4 linked regions of the Coturnix japonica genome follow. The protein of the gene in region 3 purifies or fractionates together with the protein of the main gene of each other region. This does not show direct contact. Links are inferred from orthologs where the notes say so. Each region holds a gene or a part of one and is shown on either strand. Other genes may lie near its edges. The genes, in order: VAPB, VAPA, PRKAR1A and PLK1.

Region 1 (5,000 bases), on a different chromosome or scaffold from region 3:
TTCTCCACACCTGTTCTGGCTTGAATTCCTCTGTATGAGTTACTCTATGTATACAACCATGAAATTTTATTAATGACAACATTCACACTCTTATCTTTTCCACTGCCTAGTTTGTTTGCACACACTGCATTTGCCCTATTCACAGCCACATGATGTCAGCAACTTGGTCATCACTGATCAGTTACAATATCCTAACATCACCCACTTTGTTCAGAAAGCTTGCAATTATAGAAGAAGAAATCCAAGTACATGATTCTGCAGTTTTTATGACAAAACTCATCCTGTTTCTCTTACTGAAGCCTCCAAGGACACTCAGTTCTTGCTGCATGTCTTCAGCCTTTGAATTTTACATCATCGTAAGGGTTTTTAGTGTGCTGTCTTTGAGCCAGAACTGCTTACAAAAGCATTTAACAAGACTAATACCAAACATCACTAGCAATTTCTATTATCATTTGGAAGCCATACATCCACCGCAGTCCATGCTCAGCACTTGCCATGTTGGCCAATGAGGCCCAGGGGAGCAGCATATGGCTGGTGGCTGAGAAGGGGCAGAACTGCTGTGGGCAGCCCTGACCTGAAGGAAACACAACCCACCTCTTCCTAGTGAGGTAACTGCACAAAAGATCAGGGTACCTGACAACACAAGGATAACGTCAGCTCTCCCCATGCCCAGGAGTCTGCTTGGGCTGCTCTGTGCAGCAGGGCACACCATGCACCCTTCATCTCTCCGTTGTACACCTAGCTGCAGACATCAGCACCTGCTTCTAGTTTCTCACTCTTCATCTGGAATTCATTTGTATCTTTTATTTAGATTTCAACCTCTCGGAAGCCACAAAATCAGCTGTCTTTGTTCAAATAAGACACGTGTAACAAAAACAGAATGGGTGCAAACAGCCTTCTTTGCCAAGTACTTACAACCAAACGCAATCAAACAGGGTGACAGCACACATACACTTCCTGACAGTTACATAAACTCAGCTGTTAAAATTACACACCATTATATAACAGGTGAAAACATGGGCTACAAACCTGACTTTGCAGCAAGCAGTGCATGCTAACTGAGACTTAAATGCTGGTATTTAGGAGCAGCTGTGATAGGGCAAAAGAAGCCAGTATCCAACACTGCAGTAGAATAAAGAAAGCTTTGCTTTTCTAGCATTTTATGTGTGCGAAACGAGCCAAGACCTGGCATGAAATAATGTTCTGAGAGCAGCCTCTAAGGACAGAACACCTTCTCGTGAACTTCAACCAAAATAGGACACGCCTGTGGAACTGCATGTAAGAAAGGCACTCAGCTGCTATGGTGCAAGGAAGACAAGGCTGCCCTGAACCCAACTGTCAGTAATACTCCAAGAAACAAATTCACATCATTGTACTTTGGCACCGACCATTCTTTGCAGGCTGGAGGTGCTCTGTCAGTGCTACTGTGTTAAAGTCAGTCAGCAGTTCTCAAGAGAACAGACTACAAGGAGTAAACACTGCCCAATTAGCTCAAGAGTTTCAATAGAAATTCAACCACAAAACGAGCTGACAGCAGCTTCTATTCAGAATGGGTTAGAAAATGAAGAATTAACATCCGTAACTCCAGAATTCTGCAACATATCTACCCATAAATCTACCTTAATGTGTCACCTGAAGGACAATGTATGCGAACTGCTTGCATTTAATACATAATGTTAATAGAAGGGCTGGTAATTTAGCAAAGTTTATTACCATGACTAAGTAAAGAGAATCATGTAAGTAAGTAAAACAAAAAATGTAAGCTCTGTGATTAAATATTCCAAAATCATTTGCAAAACTGAATCATAAGCCACAAATTCTACAATAAAAGTTACGTATAAAAGGCAAGTTTTTTCAAAGCTTTGTGAGCAAGAGCAGCATAACAGGGTAAGCACAGCAATCTTTCACAACAGGATACTGCAGGTCACGTCTTGGTCTGGTTTCTGTTTGGGATGCTGCTGGGAAGAATGGGGCTGGAAAAGCACCTCAGATACAGGTTCACACAGCACTTGCCTATCCCATGTTCTGCTCAAGGCAGAGCAAAGGGTCGCTGTAAGCAGAAGTTTAAGAAAAAAAGATGTTGAGATCAAGAAGACGTTCTAAAAAGCGTGTTACTTGCTAGCAAACATTTCTCTTTGTCCTGTCACTATCCACACTTGTAGCTTGGTAGGAGACTAATTAACAGGTTATGTGTTTTGCCATACATAACTTCTGTTCTGATCATCTTCCCATTGGCCAGTAACCCATCTGCTTCTATTACACAGCATTAAAATTTAATTAAAGTAGTAAAAACAAATCTTCAGAAATCATTCCTGTACCTCAAAAACCAGACCTGATTTCTGCAGCCTGCCACCGTGAAATGCTTTGAGAGAGTTCTTTAGATTACACAAATACTCACTCCTTTATGCTTTCAGTGTAACCCGCTCCTTTGTTTTTTCCATTACCAAACTTTGGCAAGTGAAGAACTACTGACTCATTAGAGAAAATCATTAACCTTTCATATGAAATAGCACAGTTTTAGTCACTTGATGTTTCTAGCACCAAAGCATATTACATCTCCAAGGAACACAAAACAAGCATGGTTTCAAAATAAATGTTTTCTTAACTGGTTGGTTATATTGGGTAGTCTGGCAACCAACTATCAGCCTGAATCAGCGTGGCTGCAGTCCACCCATGTGGACTGTGCCTGTCCAAGCACTCGTTAGTTAGATCCTGCAGTGAGCTGGTTCAGGAAGTTAAGCTGGCAAAAAGCAACCGGACCAAAATAATCCCACTGGGAGGGCAGGGCTGCGGCAGCACTGCCTTGGATAGGCTGGCTAAGGCTGCTACGGAACCATATAAATTATTTATATATTCCTCCTCCCTCCCTCAAAACAAGATGTCAAAACAAACCCATTACTGCTAGAGCAGGACTAAGAGAAGCGAAGATATATTTATATATATATGAAATGGCTGCTCCTCCATGAAATCGTAACCTCCTGCTTTTACAAGCATTCCACACAGTACTTCTGTATTGCAAAACATTCCAAGAAATAATTCATTTGATGACGCCATCCTCAGTCACTAAAGAACTGATTGTATGACTTACCAGAAACATTAATTGATGTTCCTGCATCAATAATTCCACTGTTAGGCCTTACACAGTATCTACGTGGTGCCGTGGTCTTAACTTTGAAGCACACATTTCTGTCTGTAGGGTTGCCGAGTTTCAGGTTTGTAGTGACAACATCTGTGAATGGACCTGAGGAAGAGCAAAAGCAGGCTTTAGATTGCATCAGAAAACACTCGACAAGTAGAGGCTAAGCAGGTTACAAATCTCTGCTCACAAATCTTATAAAGTAATTAGATGTTCAACTTCCATCTATGGCACGTACAGATAACAACACACGCAAAGCGCAGGATGTAGGGAGGCCACTGAGCATGACTGTATGCTCACAGCACAACAGCTCATCATTAATAGCAAACAAAAAGGGGGGAATCATTTATACACACTACCAACACAACAACGTGCTATTCAAATGAAGCCAAATTCTCTGTTGTATCAGTTATTCCATTCTAACTGCTGAACCACCCAGGCTTGCAGAGAAGCCATATACACCAATGTACAGACTGAGCAGGGGAGGATATCAAAACCTACAAATGTCAGTAAGCTTTACCTTACGCTCATAAACTGCACCTCCATGAAGCCTTCCACCCGCTATTTAGAAAGGCTGTGCCAAAACCAGCAAGATGAGCGTCCACTGTGCATCACATGTGCTTGTTTTTAAAGAATCCTTCTGGCTACAACAAATGATACATCAGAAGAGATCTTCATAAAAAAAACCCAGCCTCACTGAGACAGGAAACAACCACACGCAAAGAGGGGAATTCTTGGATGCTGACAGCACTGGCAGTGATTTCTGTATTAGCAAAGCCAGAATCAGACCACTGTCAAGTTTGGAAACAACAAGCAGTAACTTCTCATAGGCTTCAATACCTACTTGAAATCATCAGAATCCCCTGGGTGGGGGGAAAGGCTCATTACTGACTTTCTATAAGACACGGATAAATGAGGCAGGTGTTGTGTGACTGCACTCAGATCACGGAGAAATAAGATTACAGCACTGTAAACCCCCTTTGATCAGCTGTCTTCTGCACAAGAGAAGTTACCTGCTAACTGAATGAAATACCTTCACCTATCCTCAGAAATAGAAGTAAACTTGAAAAAGAAAACGAAACAACAAAAACCCCATCAATTCTTTTCCTTGAAGACAGGACAGCCCTAATGTTTAAAAACTGTGAATGATCATTTTTATAATTAATAGTAATAATAAATACACGCATGGTCACCCCCCTGCTCTCTTGAGAAAACAAGACAGGTTCTCAGTTGCAGCAGGGATGGATTAAAATCACCTGAGGCAGCTTTCTTTTCTACAAGTTTATCATATCAATTCATCTCTTAAGGTGCCACTGAGCACAAACAACAAAGCACTGCAGTCCTGCAGCCTCCACCTAAAAACACAAATCAACCAAACCAAACCAAACCAAACCAAACCACCACCAGCACTGTGGCACCTTTCTGCCTGCTCTCTGAGCAAGCCAGCTCTGCATTCACAATGCAACCTGGCAGCAAAGAAGAAGCAATAAAATGCTCAGATCCAATGACAAAGACTCAAACCTGCACCTGGTGAAACACCGAGATGCAAACAAGAATGAAATACAGCTGTTGAAGTTTTGTCTGCGTTCTGCATGCAGGCTCTCTAGGTCTGATGGAAAATAACTGAGCAGAAGCCAAGAGCTGTTAAAGAAATTCAACAAGCCCAGCTATCAGAAAAATCCAGCGAAACATTGAGGAATGTAAAGATGGCAGCAGATCTTTCAGGTAGACCTAATTGGGTCTAACGTTTCAGAAGAAATTACTCGATGCTTTAACATTATGAACGTCCATTTACACAAATTACAGTGTGAGCTATTCCAGCAGAGGGAGGCTCGTCTGCACACAGCCCTACATGTGCAGCTGC
Region 2 (5,583 bases), on a different chromosome or scaffold from region 3:
GCATCTCTGAAGCACACGAAATACAAAGCTCTGAATACTGCCTGCTGATCTTCCAAGGCTCATCAAAACAGCAAGTCTTGATTTTCAACTACATGTTAGAGGCCTCACCTCGAGTACTGTGTTCAGTTTTGGGCACCTCAGCACAGGAAAGACATGGAGGTACTGGAGCAGGTCCAGAGAAGGGCAGTGAGGCTTGTGAAGGGCTTGGAGAATCAACCCTATGAGGAGAGGCTGAGGAAGCTGGGGCTGTTTAGTCTGGTGAAGAGGAGGCTGAGGGGAGACCTTATCGCCCTCTTCCAGTATCTGAAAGGTGCTTACAGTGAGAGTGGGGAAAGTCTCTTCTCACTGGTGACAAGTGACAAGATGAAGGGAAATGGCCTCAAGTTGCACCAGGGCAAGTTTAGGTTGGATGTTAGGAAACACTTCGTTACAGAAAGGGTAGTTAGGTACTGGAATAGGCTCCCCAGGGAGGTGGTTGAATTGACATCCCTGGTTGTGTTTAAGAGCCGTTTGGATGTGGTGCTCAGGGATATGATTTAGTGTAGGGTTGTTAGAGTTAGGGTTCTGGTTAGGCTGCGGTTGGACTTGATGATCTTCAAGGTCTTTTCCAACCAGGCTAATTCTATGATTCTATGTCGCAAAAGCAGGTCTTATGTCTGGGGTAAAAATCTGGAGTATGTTTTTTCTTAAAAGAACCATTTTCTAAGAACAACCTAAATGTGAGTTAACTTGCAATTACATCACTGTCTCTTTTGATTTCAGGAAGACCAGCTGAGTTTCCATCACAAAACTAGAAAGTTTGGACTTGAAAACTTCAAGCGTCGTCATTCCACTACATGACTGTTCAGCAGCTAAAATAGATCTAAAAAAACCAAGGTATTTACTCACAAGGAACCAGTTCCAAATGATGATAATCTTCCTTAAACGAGACCTACAGACAATTCTGTTCCTCTTGACACATTTGCACAACGCTCCAAAATACATTTGCCTCGTGGTTCCCCTTAGGCATCCCTGATGGCCCCACAACCCAAAGAAACGCAGCTATCACAGCAGCAGAGGGAATCGCCCAACACCAACGCGCTATCAGTGGATTCCTAGGAATGCCAGGTACTACAAGAATGGGATTCTAATCTTTCTGACACCAAAGCAAACACAGCGTGTTAACCACGATGAGACAAGTTTATAGGCTCCTTTTGAAAGGTGCGGAATCAAATTCAGCACGTAGTTTCTCTATGAGCCAACAACAGCTTCATCAGACAGTGCTGATGAATTTTAAGTGCTGTCAAGTGTTCCTCACATAAGTTCTACCAACCCTTTAATTTAAGTCCTTGTTTGCAAAAGGGCACTTTAACACATTTCACTGCTACCCTAAAGGTCGGCAAATTCTCTACAAGTCACTGAATGAGGCAAGAAAACCTATGGAGCTATTTGTTCTGTTCTGATGGCCGGACATCAACAGTATTAGGACGATAATACCAATATTGGACAACCATCCCAGTAAACAATTCTGAATAACCAACTACACTGAAAAAAAAAAAAGAGATCATATGATTTTCCTACATCGAAGTTACGCTGAGAAACTCTGAGTCATGCACTCTCTTAGTAACCAATTATGTTTCAAAAGATAATACTTGCTGTTCTCTTCAGCCAATAGTGAACTCTTCCATTCAACACTTCAGAATTGTATGACTACCTGTGGCCCACAGACCTTTCTGAAGACCTCAGAACAATAAGCAGGTGGAAAATATTTACCTGTGTGAGGTGGTGTAGGGAGCCTGCTTTGGCAGGGGGGTTGGACTTGATGATCTCTTGAGGTCCCTTCCAACCCCTACAATTCTGTGATTCTGTGAAAGCACCAGCTGCTCTTTAAATAGGTAGGTGTTGCTGTAGCGTATTACAGTAATAATACAGTATTAGAGAGCACTTGCCATGGTGTCCCACTGCAGTTCCATTACACTTCAGACTTCAGGTTCGCTCAATCTGCTCAACATTTTCCTACCATGTGCATGAGCATGAAACCAAACTTCGTGCCTAATAAACGTGTTTTGTAAACACATGACAGCACCGATCACTGTCTGACAATAGCTTCATCCTGACAATTTCTACGTCTAGTACTCGCTGTATTCACTGTCACCAACACCGTTTCAAACCACACAAAAACACGGTTTGCTTCCAGCTTGAAGACAACACAAGATGCAGGAGCTTCAACCTGCTCCTGCAAGAGTGCAGCGCATTGAAACCCAGGTGCAGATATTCTAACATAATACATAAGCTCCCACTGTGGTTTTGGTTGTACCTTTGGATGTGCAATTTCAAAACTGCAGCTATTAGGAAGTTAAGATGCGTGACACGACAGAATTCTTCCTTTTTTTCTGTTTTAAGTGATTTGATGGCTCTCCAAAACAGGTAAAGCTTGTGAAAAGCCCCTTTGATGAAGCAGACTTCAGTCTTATTGCCAGGACCAGACAAAAGTATCTGGGGGAAATAGTGTTTGTCTTTGATATGAACATCAACCTGCTCTGCTTGTTCAGCTCTCTAAATTGACAGGGCAGGATGCTCGATTGCCCCTTAAACAATGAAAAACGAGCCTAATAAAAACCAAACACCAACACTTACGGGATTATGCAAGTACGAGTGTTGACACCAGCTACAAAAGATGTAAGCTAAGCATATGAGCAACATCTCATTCTAGCACGTTTGCTTTGCCGTTGCGTTTGGCTCTTTTTAACACACACCTTTCCAGAATCACTCTGCAGGAGCCACAGCTGGGATAGCTGTGGGAATGGAGTGATTGGTGAGGAGGGGATAACACCCCATACACCAATAGCGCCGACCGCAGCCCCTTCCGACAGCGGCGCACCCGACAAACGTGACATGCCCGAAAACACCTCAGCCCGGGGACCTCCCTCCCGCCCCTACCTGCAGCGTTCAGCGCCGGCGGAGCTGACAGCAGAGCCGCCCGTGTAGGCACTCATGGCAGGGGGCGGCCGGAGCCGCTGTGCGGGCAGACCGGGCGCGGTGCCCGCCGGGGGCCGGGCCGCGGCGCTGCCGGGGCCGCGGACACGCCGGAGCCGCCGCGGGATCGCAAGATGGCGGCGGCCGAGCCCGCTCCCCGCCTCGGCGGCACCCCCCCACCCCGGCGCCGGCGGCCTCCTCGAGGGACCCGAGCGGGCAGGGCCCGGCCCCGCGGAACGGGGTGAGGCTCCTCGCGACGGCCGAGGGAAGCGGGACACCCCCCGCCCCGGCCGCCCGGCGCCCCGCTGCCCCTCACCTTTGAATTTAAGGTCGGTGGGCGGATCGAGCACCAGAATCTGCTCGTGCTTCGCCAGAGCCCCGGCGGCCGCCATCTCGCTCGTTCGCTACGGCGGGAGGAGGAGAGGGGGAGGGTGGGAGGAGGAGGGGGAGGAGGAGGAGAAGGAGGAGGAGGAAGAGAACGAGGGGCGGGACGGGGAGCCCGGGCGGCGGTAGCGCTTTTCCCTACGCCTTGCGGCGGGTGCAGCCGCTCTTTAGCCCGGCGCTGCTCGCTGCTCACCGCTCGCTCCCCACGTCGCACCGGCGGCCCCCGGCAACGCCGCCACTCCGCGGGCACGAGGGCGGAGGCGGCAGTGACCGGGCCTGCTGTGCGCATGCGCCCTCCCGCTTTGCTCGCTCGCTCCCCCACCGCCGGTCGCCGGCCCTGACGGGAGCCCTGCGACGGAGCCGAGCGGGAAGGAGCGGATCCACGCTCCGGGAACGGGCTGTGGGAGCGCTGCGCATCACACAGTATCACAGTGTTGTGCGGGTTGGAAGGGACCTGAGAGATCATTGAGTCCAACCCCCGGGATTCGAGCCCTGTGTAGCAGAGCGGCACTTCTACCACTTGCGCCACAGGGGGGATTCGAACCCAGGGCCTCCAGTGTTGCAACGCGGCATTGCTACCACTGCGCCACCGGGGCACACGCATGCGCCGCTGGGGGTTGTAGTGTTTCTCGGTGCCTGGTGGGCTCTGTAGTCCAGGTTGGGGTGGTGTGTGGTGATGTGGCGTCGTGCTCTGCCTGGCGTCTCAGTGTGGTGTCATTGAAGCTGCCGGAGAGAGGGTAAGAGTGGGTGAAAAGTGAAAGGCCTGGGTGAGTTCATGCAAGATCGGAGTGTGGGTGATGGAATTTCTTCTCTCGTGGACTCACCAAAGATTACTCCACAGTGTTTCTCTGAAGCAATAATTCAGCCCCGGAATTATGTGGTAGTTATATACCTGAAGAATTTCTGAGTTTTTTTTCTCAAAGAATTTCGTGGTGTAGGGAACCTGCTTTGGCAGGGGGGTTGGACTCCATGATCTCTAGAGGTCCCTTCCAACCCCTACAATTCTGTGATTCTGTGAGATACGAGGAGCTGCTGCAAAACTCTAAATACCTCCAGAGGTTCTCTCCTTTCTCTTTTTAAATAGGCTGTCTTGACTCTGTTGCAGTCAGTAGCAAAACCTCTCACCAATTGCAGTGAGATGTCATTCACAGAATCACAGAATGACCCGGGTTGGAAGGGACCTCAAGGATCATGTAGTTCCAACCCCCCTGCCTGGCAGGGCCACCAAACATACACATTTACTAGATCAGGTTGCCCAGGGCCCCGTCCAACCTGGCCTTGAACACCTCCAAGGACGGGGCATCCACAACCTCCCTGGGCAGCCTGTTCCAGGGCCTAACCACTCTCCTAGTATGTCATTCCGGAGGTGTCTCTAGTATCTGTATCACTGCTTGCAGGCAGCTAACATTTGCTTAACGTGAGTTTAACATTTGTCCTGTGTGCTTGTAGATCTTCATGTTTATTCACATTGTGAATTCAGCATCATTGTTGTTATAGTATCTCAGTTTGGAGACTGCCTGACATTTTTCAGAGCTGTTTGCTATTAAATATTAAATGAGTTTTCTTTATGCCTGAGAAGTATCAATGTAGGCTCAGTTTCATAATACTCTTTTCCACTGTTTATTATTCAGGTAGTTTATTCGGTTCCGCCAACTCTGAACTTGAAAGTGTCTTGCAATAAAACAATATCATGGCTTGCTTTGCAATTCCTTGGTGTTATTAAGATTGTCAGAAAAAGCAACCAAGTGCCACGTTACTTGTCATGTTAATGGAAAAACCTCAGTCTCGCTCACTGAAGTAACATACGTATCCTGTACTGCCAAGTCAATGAATATTGCAAAGTAAAGCTGAAGGTCTGTTTTTATTTCTCTTTAAGGAAATACCTGGCCTCTTGGTGCTGCAATTTGTCTTCTGAAACACAAAACTATTCATAGCATACACACAGATTACAGCAGGCCGTGGTCATAATTTACTTAGCAGCTAATGAGTTCCATATATAATTTGAGGCCTACTCGTTATATTGTAAATCAAGGGTAAAATTACAATCCATACCTCTCTGAAGATTTATGACACTATTCCAATGTTACCACAGGCTAGAAAAGTAGATCTTAACTGAGTATCACATCAAGTTTGTTAGACTACAGTGTATTTCTCTACCTAATGAGGTCATTATAAAAACAGGTGATACATACTGAATATGAAAGCAGAGAAAAGCTAATAACACATAACAGCATTCTGATACGT
Region 3 (5,536 bases):
GATATGACAGGGCTAGAGCAGGAAGCTCAGGTGGTAGCTGTCCTATGGCATGGATTTTGATCACAGTAATTCCTTGTTCTGTTCTTTTATGACCTGAATTATTTCTCTTTCGTGTGGCAAAGTTACAGATGTTGATACCAGATTTACTTACTCATCCAGAAGCTCAGACTGCATGGCAAACACAGCACATTGGGACCAAGTGCTGCACTTTGGGCTGTGCTTCTTTGGATCCAGCTTGTATATTAAGGATGACACATTTACAACACTTATGTGATTTAACACATAGATCTGGGAGATGGGGTGCCACTGTGGCTTATCTTCTCTTCCTCAGCCTCACTGCCCCACTGTCAGACCGACAAATTTATTGGTCTTTTATGAGACCAAGAATATGTATCCTAATTAATGCAGAATGGAGGTAAACAACATGGTTAGGAATGATGATGTGCCGCTCTCACTCCGTCAGTGAAGGAACTGCAGTGACCTTGCAGAAGGCTGCTGGTTTTAATCATGATAATTGTGCAGCTGACACCCTTGTTATGAAGACGAAGCAGAAGTGGGTGACTGCATGAACCAAAGAGCAAAGGAGCGGTCACACAGCTCCAGGTTCTCCAAGGTACTGGGTAACCAGCTCCTCTAAATTCACAAGGCCTTCAATATCTTTGTATGTTTCAGGCCATGGATTCCCTCACATCCACAATGTCTGTCCTCCAACTCTTGCCTTAAGAGAGCATGGAAAGTGATAGTAACTACTGTTTGAAGCCACATGTAGGTTTGACATAACTACTGACTCCTGTGAATGCCAACCAAGGATGAATGTAGCCTAAGTTTCCCCCATGGTTTGCTGGCTCCATCACTCCCTTAGCAGTCTGGGCAGCTCTTCTCTGCTCTTCAGCAGCCACAGCCTCACACAATTGTCTCATGAGAAACTCTTAATGCATGAAAGTGTGAACTGAAAGCTGTGGGAACAAGCGCTGATGGTAATGCAAGTTATTTACTCCAGAATACTCATTATTTAATTAGACACTTAACACCAGGGTTTCACTGCAATCCAGACCAGACTCAACGGCAAAGCCTTTTGTTTGTCATTCCTTTCTTTTTAACACATGAATACATACAAATCTATGCTTATGAGGAGCATGATTTCACTTTGCAGGGTAGTTCTATGCTCTCACAGCGAAGGATTTACACAAAATTAATGAGAGAAACCTCATGTTAGCACTACAAGGCTCCTTTTAAAGCCTGTTTTGCTCCCTTTATTACACCGCTGCATTGCCATATGAACTCCTGCTCAGCAGAGGGTTGCATCAAGATGAAGCCATACAACAAACTTGTTTTCCTGATGCTGTAGAACAGGTTTTACATACACACACACACACAGAGCTTTGTTCCAGCTGGGACAAGGCACCAAGGCTTGTCCCAACAGCGCTCCATAAGCATTATCGGGCCCTCACCATTCACATTGGGATACATTCAGTGTTTAACAGCTTGCATGGGGTACCCAAACCCAACCCCAGGCCGCCCCATAGTGACACAGACCTCCCCCCCATTAGCAGCGCGTCTTAAAGGCGCAGCATCACTCAACCAACACCGCATCACCGAGCTTACTAAAGAGCGCTGCGGTCCCTTTAAGGTTACCTCGACGACGGCTCCGGGTGAGAGCGAGGCTCATTGACGTCACGCCGCTCTCTGATTGGTCCAACCCGTCCATTTCCGGTGGGAGCCGCCGCCGTTGCTGTCGCTGAGGCCGAGGCGGGGCAGTGGGCGCTGAGGGCCCGAGGAAGGCGGCCGCTCCAGGTGAGCGCTGGGTGCGGCCTGTGAGGAACAACAACCGGGAATGGCCGCTGTGTGGTGGGGCTGAACGGGAAGCTCGAGGCCTTTAGGGTGGGCCTGGCTGCGGGGGAGCAGCGCCGGGGCCGGTACCGGAGCCTGACTGGGCCCCAAGGCTTGTAGGCCCTAAGGTTGTAGGCCTTAAGGCTGTAGGCCCCAGGGCTGTAGGCCTTAATGCTGTAGGCCTTAAGGTTGTAGGCCTCGAGTTGAGAGGCTGCGTTGTGGCCTTGCGGGTTCAGGCAATAGAAACGAAAGCTGCGGGGTGGGGCCTGGGGATGGGGTGGCTATCGGGCTCTATGAGCACCTAAAGGCCGTCCCCTCCCCACTCCCATTGCGGTCCCTGTTTCCCTGGGGTTCATTATTAGCGCTGACCTTCACCACGCTGTTATCAAAGCAAAAGGAGCATTAGGAGAAGGGAAATGCTCCTTTAGTCGTTTCGAGTCTGTACTTAATGTCTATGCGGTGTGTAATGTGTCTGCCCGGGGTTGGCTGTAACATTTGCAGCTCTGTGTTAGCTCTGTGCCTCCTGTAATGCCTGGCAGGACGATTCCATTGGGTACAGTGTTATATCACCTGTTATCTGCTGCCTGTAAAGCACGATGTGGCAGCTCAGTGACATGACATTTCAATATTGCTTCATCTGAATCCTTTTCTTTCTCTCTTCTCTTTCTAAAGCTGATCCTGAGATCAACACTTCTCACTGAACAGTCCTAAGCTGTTGCCGCTGTCTCTGTGCCAGGTAACTTTCTTTATATGTCATCAAAAATACCTTGAGAAATCATTTCCTCTTTCTTTAACTGTCTTATGGGGAAAAAAAACCAAACAACTCAACATTGATTTTATAAACATATACATAAATGAATAAATAAATTAGCATAATTTTATAACGTGAAGTATAAAAAAGAATAGACTTAATGGTATTTTTTTCAAAGTCTTGTGGCTTGCTCTGTGATTTCAAAATCTCTTTAAAGCCTGACAGTGTGATGGGTCTGTTTAAGGGTCCCCTCCTGATAATCCACAGCTGAAGAAATATTTTTGGGGATGGAGGTGTATTCACGGAGGTAGTTATGAAGTGTGGAATGATTTAAACTAAGGAGCTTCTATAAGAGGAATGCTTCTAATTCCCCAGTTGTCATTGATGGGCATTTGTTGAGCTGGCTTTGATTTGACCTTAGCACATCTCACTTCTGGATACCTGTAGTGTTTGTGTCTCAGATTCCTGGTTTCCACCCACCAGTCTCCTGTTCATCACCACCTGACCCCTGGTTTTAACTGGGGTAATGTTAATCTTCACAGTAGCTGATAAGGTGCAATGTTTTGGGTCTGGGAGGAGAGCAGTACTGATAGCACACCAGTGTTACAGCCATTACTGAGCAGTGCTTACACTAAGCAAAGGCTGTTTCAGCTTCTTGCACTGCCAAGCCACTAAGGGGCTGGGATGGGACAGAACCAGAACAGCTGCCCCACCTGGTTGAAATGGTTCTGTACCATGTGTTGTCGTACTCAGCAATAAAACTGGGGGACTCGGCTGGGGGGGGACAGCTGCTGCTTGGGGACAGACTGGGCATCGTACAGCAGGCTGTGAGCAATTGCAGTGTGCATCATTTGTTTTATTTTTTCTTTTTTTTTTGTTTGCTCTGTTCCTCCCCTCCTCATAGTTTCTTCTTTCACACTTTAGCTTTGTTACTGATCTTAGATATGAAGATGACTTTATCCAGTGATGTCAGTCAGATGATAATGCAGCATGATTTTCCTTTAGGCGATATAACGTGTCTGACTATATTGGGCTGCACCATCTTTTCTGCTAGTTCTTTAACTTTCTCTTTCTCATTTTCAGCAATGGCAACTTCCAGCAGCAGCAGCAGTGAGGAGGAACGTAGTCTTCGGGAATGTGAACTTTATGTCCAAAAACACAACATCCAACAGCTTCTGAAGGATTGCATTGTGCAGCTGTGCACCGTGAGACCTGAGCGACCCATGGGATTCCTCAGAGAATACTTTGAAAGATTGGAGAAGGTAAAAATTCCTTTCTGGGAGAGAAGGAGAGTGGAACAGCCAAAATTTGCACTGTTTAACTTGATTTAATGGCTGAGCTTCCAGTTTGGCCCATGTTTGTATTGGCTGTTTGGAACTGGGCCTGATGCTTTTGGAGGATGAATGGTATTTTCTGTAGTTTTTGCTAGTGGCTTGTGGTATGAAAGCACCTCTTGCTTTGTTGTGACAGAAGTAAACTGACAAGGACACTTACCCACCTGGGATTCACGTGTGATCCTAGTCTAGTGTTTGCTCATAGAAACTGATAGATAGGACACGTGATCCTGTCTGTGGTCAGTTGGTAAATGTGCTGTGTGACCCTGGTAGCTGCTGGTGATACACATTTGGTTTCTTCTGTTGAGGCAAATTGATTGCAAAGATTCAGGTATAGAACAGCAGCAGGCCAGTGTGGTAGTTAGCCCGGCCTAGCTGAAATCAAATGAAAGCACTTATTTTCCTGATTTCTAAGAGAACAAGCCTGTTTCTTCATTCTGTTGGGAACTGAGTGTTACTGTTTTGCTTTTTGTTCCTCTCATTTGTCCTGAAGGTCTCTTCAGTGTTCTTGTTGAAAACCTTGTGATCTTTGGAATGAAAAGCGTTTTCATTTCAGTGCTCATATTTGAATCAATTTAACGCTGATTTGAACAGTTAATTGAATATAACTATAGCTTAAGCTGATAGAGAATAATCTGCTATGAAAACATGAGTTTTTAAGGGTGAATGCAGAAGAAAGATTAGCTGTAACCACTGCACTCAGCACAGGTCGTTAGTAATTACTGTAGCTGTGACCTTGTACAGCAGTCATTTGCAGGTGCTGCTTTAGCTTCCCATCTTACGTGGAAACTATATCTTTGTCTTTTTTCAGGCTCCTAATAATCCTTCATCCCCACCTTTTACTGTATCAGCTTTCCCACCTTGTATTCTTGGGTTTCTAGTAGTGATACATTGTAAGGTTTGGTGTATCAATGCTTGTGCTAATGTTGCTTTAAAAACTATCAAAGAAAACTGTTCTTTTGAAGTTAGGAGGTAGAACTTGGAATAAGCGAAGAGTAAGCAAAGCCACGAAGGGACATAAAACAGAAGCATGGCTATATGTGCCAACTCGTGTGGCTGTAGCTGCTGGTGGAACTGTAGCCTTCTTATATTATTGAATATAAACATTGCCATGTCTTTCTTCAAGGTAATTTCATAGTTCAGCCATATGGGTTGGTCTTAGTTTGAGCAGTGTGTTGAACCTTCAGAGCTATCAAGTAACAGAGCTGCGCTGCTGCTATTAACCAGCTCTAACCTGGTACTTAGCTCCAGTGCAGCAGAAATGTTTGAAACCATGTGTTTTCCAAGAGTAACATCTGTTTTATCCTTATGAAAGCAGAGCAACTTTCCCATCTACTTTTAAAATGTTACACTGAATGAAACTGAGGTTGAGGCGGAGTATTTTTTTTAAGCTTTGGTTGAGACTGACTTCTGAAGGAACATCATTTAAAAATGAAGTGTGGGTTCTATTTTCTCTCCTGACAAGTCATCTCTTCCACAGTGCACACAGAGCTGATTCACTGTCATGTTACTCACATACATTGGAGATGTTTAAACTTACCGTTGAATTATTGCTCAGAAACACTCAAATTACTGCCTCTGAAGTAGTTACAATAGGAATTCACGTGTCCTTTTCAGCTAT
Region 4 (5,758 bases), on a different chromosome or scaffold from region 3:
AACTCCAACACTGTTGTCACATAATTGATAACCTGGTTGAAAAAAAAGCCTGTCAGACCTTCACACACATGGGACCCTTGGTTACATGAAATACAGAGCTGGATCATCTAGGGGATCCCTGGAGGCCACCTCATCAATTTTAAAGATCCTCCTTTTAACAGAGGTCGAGATGGCACTTTTTTCTCCTCTGGGTTTGTCACCCTCCTTTGCTGCATTATCTGCTGCATAAGCAACTTCAACTCCTACACTGAGTACACACATTAGCCACTTTGGATCCACAGGGTCCTGCTGCCTGCATCCTTAATGTGGCCAGGGTAGATATTCAGTGGCCATTACTCTGTGTTCACTTAGTGTTTGATGGTGCTCCCGGTGATACTCTTGAATGCAAACACTGATCATGATTTAAGAACTAAATCTACACTGAGCACAGATCAGGACTTCTACCAGCTGCTTTAGGAGCTAGAAAAGGCTGAAGTACTGCCATCATGTTATTTACCTAGACCATACTTATCCGAGTAGTCCACCCATTTGCTAACCCAAAAGATGGGAATACAGGCTGGGTCTTCAGCTTCTTCTGCAAGGAGAAAAGGAGTTTGTTAGAAGACATTTTAAGGCATGCTGTGCAGCACAGCAAGCAAGGCCAAGAGGAAGGTAAGTAGCTTCCACATTGCTTTTCTGCCTTTCAGGTTGAAGCTGAGGTCAGTTGGTCCCTCAGTTCAGCCAAGAGGCATCAATGACAGAAGCAAGTTGTCCAAAAATGTCAGTGCCTGTGGGATTGTCCCCAGACTCACCTTGTCTCACTGCAGTTCTCTCAGAGGGTTTGGCTGAGTTGACTGCAGTCAGCTGCTGTAACATGTCTGCTAAGTGACACTCAATGCTGTCTCCCACCTCCCGCAGCCCAGCTGCATCTTCCTTTTCAGGCAGGTTTTCTAATGCAGGGCTTTCTGGTCCTGGGCCAGAAAAAAAAGAGAAGATTGCAGAAACATGAGCAGCAAGTTTCTAAAAGCACCAATTTACATGCTACCCTAGTTATAAGAAACACATTATGCACCTCATAGCTGAACTGCTCCCTGCTTTGGTTCTGGACAAAGAACAAGGAGAACTCCCAGACACGATATGTTCTAGTTATCATGAGAACTGGGAGAGTAGGTGAGGCAGCACTATATTCCCCACAGATGGGTCTGTGTGTTGCTAGAGGCCAGGCAGGCACTCATCCAGTGCTGCAGTCCTCAGCCCTCACTTCCAGACGCCTCCTCTTACCTTTGTTGAGTGCCGTCAGTGGCTTTCGCCCATTCAGTTCAAGTGTGCTGGGAGCGATTGAAAACCGAGGTGCAACAGTGAGACAGCTGGTGGGCAGGCGGCTGGGGATGTACCCTGATGTGAAGAACTCATCGTTCAGCAACTCATTGATAGTTGGGCGCGTGGCAGGGTCAGATCTCAGCATCTTCTGAATGAGGTTAGCAGCTACAGGGTTGATGTGCTAGGAGGAGACAGGCAGAGTTGTGAGTCAAGCAGAAGGACAAGCACACATTAGTGGCATCTGCTCTGTATAATACAACAGGTTCTGCTCAGAGCACAGCTCTGGGTCAGGCAAGCAGGACATAAGCCTGGGAGACAGAACCATACAGGTTCACTCTGCCACTGATTGATACAGCCCCTTCCCATCTCACTGTGATAATAGCTGCTTCACTATTATGTGAGAGCCCACTGAGTGCCAGAAATGGGATGGTACAAGAACGGCTGCAAGATGAATAGACCCACCCATGAGAAGTACTTTACCTTGGGAATAGTATACTCATTCTTCTTGATTCGGAGGTATGTTTCTTTGAGACAAGAGGTTTCAAAAGGTGGTTTCCCCACCAGCAGAGTATACCTGTGTGTTTGTAGACATGGAAGTGTGTTAGATTTATTCCCCTCCCTCCCCCAGAGCACCAGGGAGGTCAGGTGCCAGCAGCCATGGCAGTGTGCTGGATACAGCACATCCATAGCTGCAGGATACACCAGAACCTCACAGGGGCCAACAGGATGTGGGGCACAGGGACCTCACAGCCCTGCAGGAGACACTTTGACTCACATGATGCAGCCAATGGACCACACATCCACTTCAAAGCTGTGCCCCTTCTTGCCCAGCACCTCTGGGGCGATGTAGTTGGGGGTCCCACACAGGGTCTTCTTGCGCTCACCATCATACTCCACTTTGGTGGCCAAGCCAAAGTCACCTTGGGGAGACACAGAGATGGGAGCAATGAGAGAACCCAGGTGGGGTGGGACAGCCATGGGGGTCCTGCAGGCACCGCACCCCGACACCTACCGATCTTCACCTCCATGTCATCGCTAAGGAAGAGGTTTCCCAGCTTGAGGTCTCGGTGGATGACGCGCTGGCTGTGCAGGTACTGGCAGCCCAGGATGGTTTGCCGCAGGTAATAACGCACCTCGGGCTCGCTCAGCGCCTTCCGCCGCTTGTGCAGCTCCAGCAGTGACTGCGGGGATAAGAACACACGGGGATAAGAGCACATAGGGATAAGAACACACGGGGATAAGAGCACATAGGGATAAGAACACTCGGGGATAAGAGCACATAGGGATGGGGGTGTTGGTCACGGTGATGGGGTGTTGGTCGGGGTGTTGGTCACCCAGCTCCCATCCCGCTCAGCCCCCACCCGCACCCCCCGCCCTCACCCTGCGGCGGCACAGCTCCAGCACCACGTAGACGAAATCGCTGTCCTCGAAGAACCCCTGGAAGCCCACGACGTGCTGGTGCGCCAGGCTGCGGTGGATGGCGATCTCCATCGACATTTTCTCCTTCTGGTGCGGTTTGGCCAGCAGCGATTTGGGCACCACTTTCCCAGCGAACACCTCCCTGCTCTCGTTCTCGGTCAGTTCGTAGCACCGAGCGAAGCCGCCCTTGCCCAGGAACCGGCCCCGCACGTAACTGCGCCTGGTCCGCGGGTCCAGCAGAACCTTCGGAACCTCTTTACCCGCAGCCGCCGTCGCTCCACCCGATCGGGCCGGTTCCACCGCAGCCACCGGTCGGGCTTTGCCGCCCGCCGCGTTCATGGTGCCGCTGTCCGAGCTGAGAACTGCAGTCAAAGCCGAATGAGGCGGAACCGAACCGGATCCGAACCCCGAAGCGGAGCCGTGCGGGACGCGCTGTGTCGCTGTGTCTCTATGTGCGGCGCTCAGACCGATTCAAACGCGGCCCCCGAGCGTTACGCGCCCGCGGCGGCTCCTCATTGGTCCGGAGGATTTAAAATCCACGCCGCCCGCCGCGGAGCAACATGGGAGCGGAGCGACACAGCCCGGCTTAAAGAGACAGGAACCGGCGGGGACGGAGCACAGCGCCACCCAGCGGGCGGGAGGAGCGAGCGGCGCGGCGGGTATGGGCAAACGCAGTGGGGTATATGGCAACCAGTGGGTTATTGGCACTGCAGTGGGTTATTGGCATTGCAGTGGGTTATTGGGCACCCAGTGGTTATGGGCATTGCAGTGGGTTGATTGGCACCCAGTGGGTTATTGGCAATTGCATGGGTTATTGGCACCAGTGGGTTATTGCACTGCAGTGGGTTTATTGCATTGCAGTGGGTTATTGGCACCCAGCTGGGTTATGGCCATTTGCAGTGGGTTATATGGCACCGAGTGGGTTATTGGCACCGCATGGTTATTGGGCACTGCAGTTGGGTTATTGACATTCGCAGTGGGTTTATTGGCATTGCAGTGGTTTATTGGCATTGCAGTGGGTTAATTGTGGCATTGCAGTGGTTATTGGCATTGCAGTGGGTTGTTGGCATTGCAGTGGGTTATTGGCACCGCAGTGGGTTATTGGCATTGCAGTGGGTTATTGGCACCGCAGTGGGTTATTGGCACTGCAGTGGGTTATTGGCATTGCAGTGGGTTATTGGCACCCAGTGGGTTATTGGCATTGCAGTGGGTTATTGGCATTGCAGTGGGTTATCGGCACCGCAGTGGGTTATTGGCACGGCTGGGGCAGGAACTGGCAGCGGGGTGATTCCTACACGGGAGAACTAATGGACACTGCCAGCCCTCCGGGGCGACAGGAGAGCGAGCTGAAGGGGAGCTATAAGAAAGGTGGGTCTGTGCGTCAGGACAAGGGGAAACGGTTTTAAAAGGGATGTAAACTTCAATTGGATGTAAAGAAGCTGTTTGCAGAGAGGGGGGTGAGGAATGGCACAGGGTGCACGGAAAGGTGGTGGTGCCTGCAGACACCCATGGTCAGGCTGGATGGGGCTCTGAGCACTGATGAAGCTGTGGGTGTCCCCGCTCAGTGCGGGGCTGAAGCTGCTGCAGGGATCACGCAATGGGATTTATCCATCTCCTCCCTCTCCCTGTGGGCTGTGAGCAGCTTTTCACACTGCCACACTTCACTATGTGCAGGGAATTCATGCTCGATGTGTTTTTCCACACAGCCTGTTGTGATGCTTCCACGTGACAACGTTTGGCTTATAAAATACATTTCCACACTGACCCAAGAATGTGACACTTCTTTATTGTGCAGAATCCACCCATTTTTGTTGGCATATTCTTCAGTTTCTTCCCCCCTCTGCCACCAAGGTGCCATATCACCAGGTGGATGTGATTGTACCCAGCCTCCTTGATGATTCTTTTCCCTCACCAGCCATAACGTGGAACACGAGCTGGTAAAGAGAACGTCAGCAACAAACCGCATGCACTAAGGCTGGAGAGTTCACTGCAGCCTAACATCATTTGGTGAGAAAAGTAACTTTACATTCTCATCCCCTAATGTGATCATTCTGGAGCAGAATAGAACACCAAAGGAAAACAGCCATGAACAGAGCAAAAACCATCTGGGGCAGCTCTGGCCGTGAGCTTCTCATGCCTTCTCCCTTCAGGCATGCACGGCTCCACCCTGCTGAAAGTCAAATGAGGACAGTTCTGTTGTAGCTTCCCTTTCCCAATAAGGAAAGCTGTTTCTTTTAGGACAGAGTTGATGGCCCTGGCTGGCCAACATATTCTGTGCTTTGCTATTTGCTGGAACCTTGGGTACTGCAGTTGTGTCAATGGCTACAGGCCAGCTGGGTGCATCGTGGCAGAGAGCTGGCACAGGTGTGGAGGTGAGCCCAGGTCAGTGATGCTTCAGAGGACAGGATAAAGTAACCAGGTGTAAGGAATGTTAACAGTGCTGAGCATTTGAGATCTTCAGTGGTGACTTTTTAAACCCTGGCAGAGGCCACCTTAACAGAGACAATAAAACAGGTTTCAATTAAAGCAGAAGGGTTGGGTCAGCCTGCTGGAAAGAAGAATAGATTGAGAAATATGTGATGCTCTGTGTTGTTATGCATCCCTCAGCACACTGCAGCTGCACTGCACAAGTAGTTGTGGGAATGCGTGTCTGAAACTTCTCCAGTTGCAGTCTCGTCCTCTCCCAAGCTTGCATCCCTTGATTTGGCAGCCACCTCCTCCTACCCCCCCATATCATCAGCCCATTTTCCTGCTGCCCTCCACGGTCGTTGACCAAGCAATCCCAGTGAAGTGCACTATGTGGTGTTGAAACCTTGAAGGGACACCATGGCAACAAAGCACAGACAACCCTCCCTGACCAAGCACAGCACTGCTTCCCACATCTCCAGAGATGGCTGACATTAAGCTAACAGGGCAAAATAGTATTTGTGTGTGGCACTATAAAGACTAGAGTATCTGACTTGGAGATCTCCCATGAATGCCAAAAGCTGTCTGGTCTGGTGACCAAGGAAGCCTTCGATAGTCCCTCAACAAGCGGCTT

The links.
Region 1: the proteins of PRKAR1A (region 3) and VAPB purify together in Homo sapiens (affinity purification with mass spectrometry; 3 studies listed by BioGRID and IntAct, counting the BioPlex papers as one, with this or other methods). This does not show direct contact. The link is inferred for Coturnix japonica from reciprocal best matches to the Homo sapiens genes PRKAR1A and VAPB.
Region 2: the proteins of PRKAR1A (region 3) and VAPA purify together in Homo sapiens (affinity purification with mass spectrometry; 3 studies listed by BioGRID and IntAct, with this or other methods). This does not show direct contact. The link is inferred for Coturnix japonica from reciprocal best matches to the Homo sapiens genes PRKAR1A and VAPA.
Region 4: the proteins of PRKAR1A (region 3) and PLK1 purify together in Homo sapiens (affinity purification with mass spectrometry; 4 studies listed by BioGRID and IntAct, with this or other methods). This does not show direct contact. The link is inferred for Coturnix japonica from reciprocal best matches to the Homo sapiens genes PRKAR1A and PLK1.

The regions. Positions count from the first base shown.
Region 1 is NC_029535.1:10,108,650-10,113,649, forward strand, and holds part of VAPB (vesicle-associated membrane protein-associated protein B/C), read right to left. Parts: intron 3,242-5,000; coding exon 3,089-3,241; intron 1-3,088. UniProt on the Homo sapiens protein: Endoplasmic reticulum (ER)-anchored protein that mediates the formation of contact sites between the ER and endosomes via interaction with FFAT motif-containing proteins such as STARD3 or WDR44.
Region 2 is NC_029517.1:88,648,079-88,653,661, forward strand, and holds the start of VAPA (vesicle-associated membrane protein-associated protein A), read right to left. Parts: upstream 3,480-5,583; 5' UTR 3,348-3,479; coding exon 3,272-3,347; intron 1-3,271. UniProt on the Homo sapiens protein: Endoplasmic reticulum (ER)-anchored protein that mediates the formation of contact sites between the ER and endosomes via interaction with FFAT motif-containing proteins such as STARD3 or WDR44.
Region 3 is NC_029533.1:6,401,227-6,406,762, reverse strand, and holds the start of PRKAR1A (cAMP-dependent protein kinase type I-alpha regulatory subunit), read left to right. Parts: upstream 1-1,673; 5' UTR 1,674-1,794; intron 1,795-2,502; 5' UTR 2,503-2,566; intron 2,567-3,664; 5' UTR 3,665-3,666; coding exon 3,667-3,843; intron 3,844-5,536. UniProt on the Homo sapiens protein: Regulatory subunit of the cAMP-dependent protein kinases involved in cAMP signaling in cells.
Region 4 is NC_029529.1:6,808,520-6,814,277, reverse strand, and holds the start of PLK1 (serine/threonine-protein kinase PLK1), read right to left. Parts: upstream 3,240-5,758; 5' UTR 3,058-3,239; coding exon 2,680-3,057; intron 2,481-2,679; coding exon 2,312-2,480; intron 2,220-2,311; coding exon 2,075-2,219; intron 1,874-2,074; coding exon 1,780-1,873; intron 1,481-1,779; coding exon 1,261-1,480; intron 951-1,260; coding exon 792-950; intron 575-791; coding exon 497-574; intron 33-496; coding exon 1-32. Other genes in the region: DCTN5 (dynactin subunit 5), read right to left, coding at 5,190-5,210. UniProt on the Homo sapiens protein: Serine/threonine-protein kinase that performs several important functions throughout M phase of the cell cycle, including the regulation of centrosome maturation and spindle assembly, the removal of cohesins from chromosome arms, the inactivation of anaphase-promoting complex/cyclosome (APC/C) inhibitors, and the regulation of mitotic exit and cytokinesis.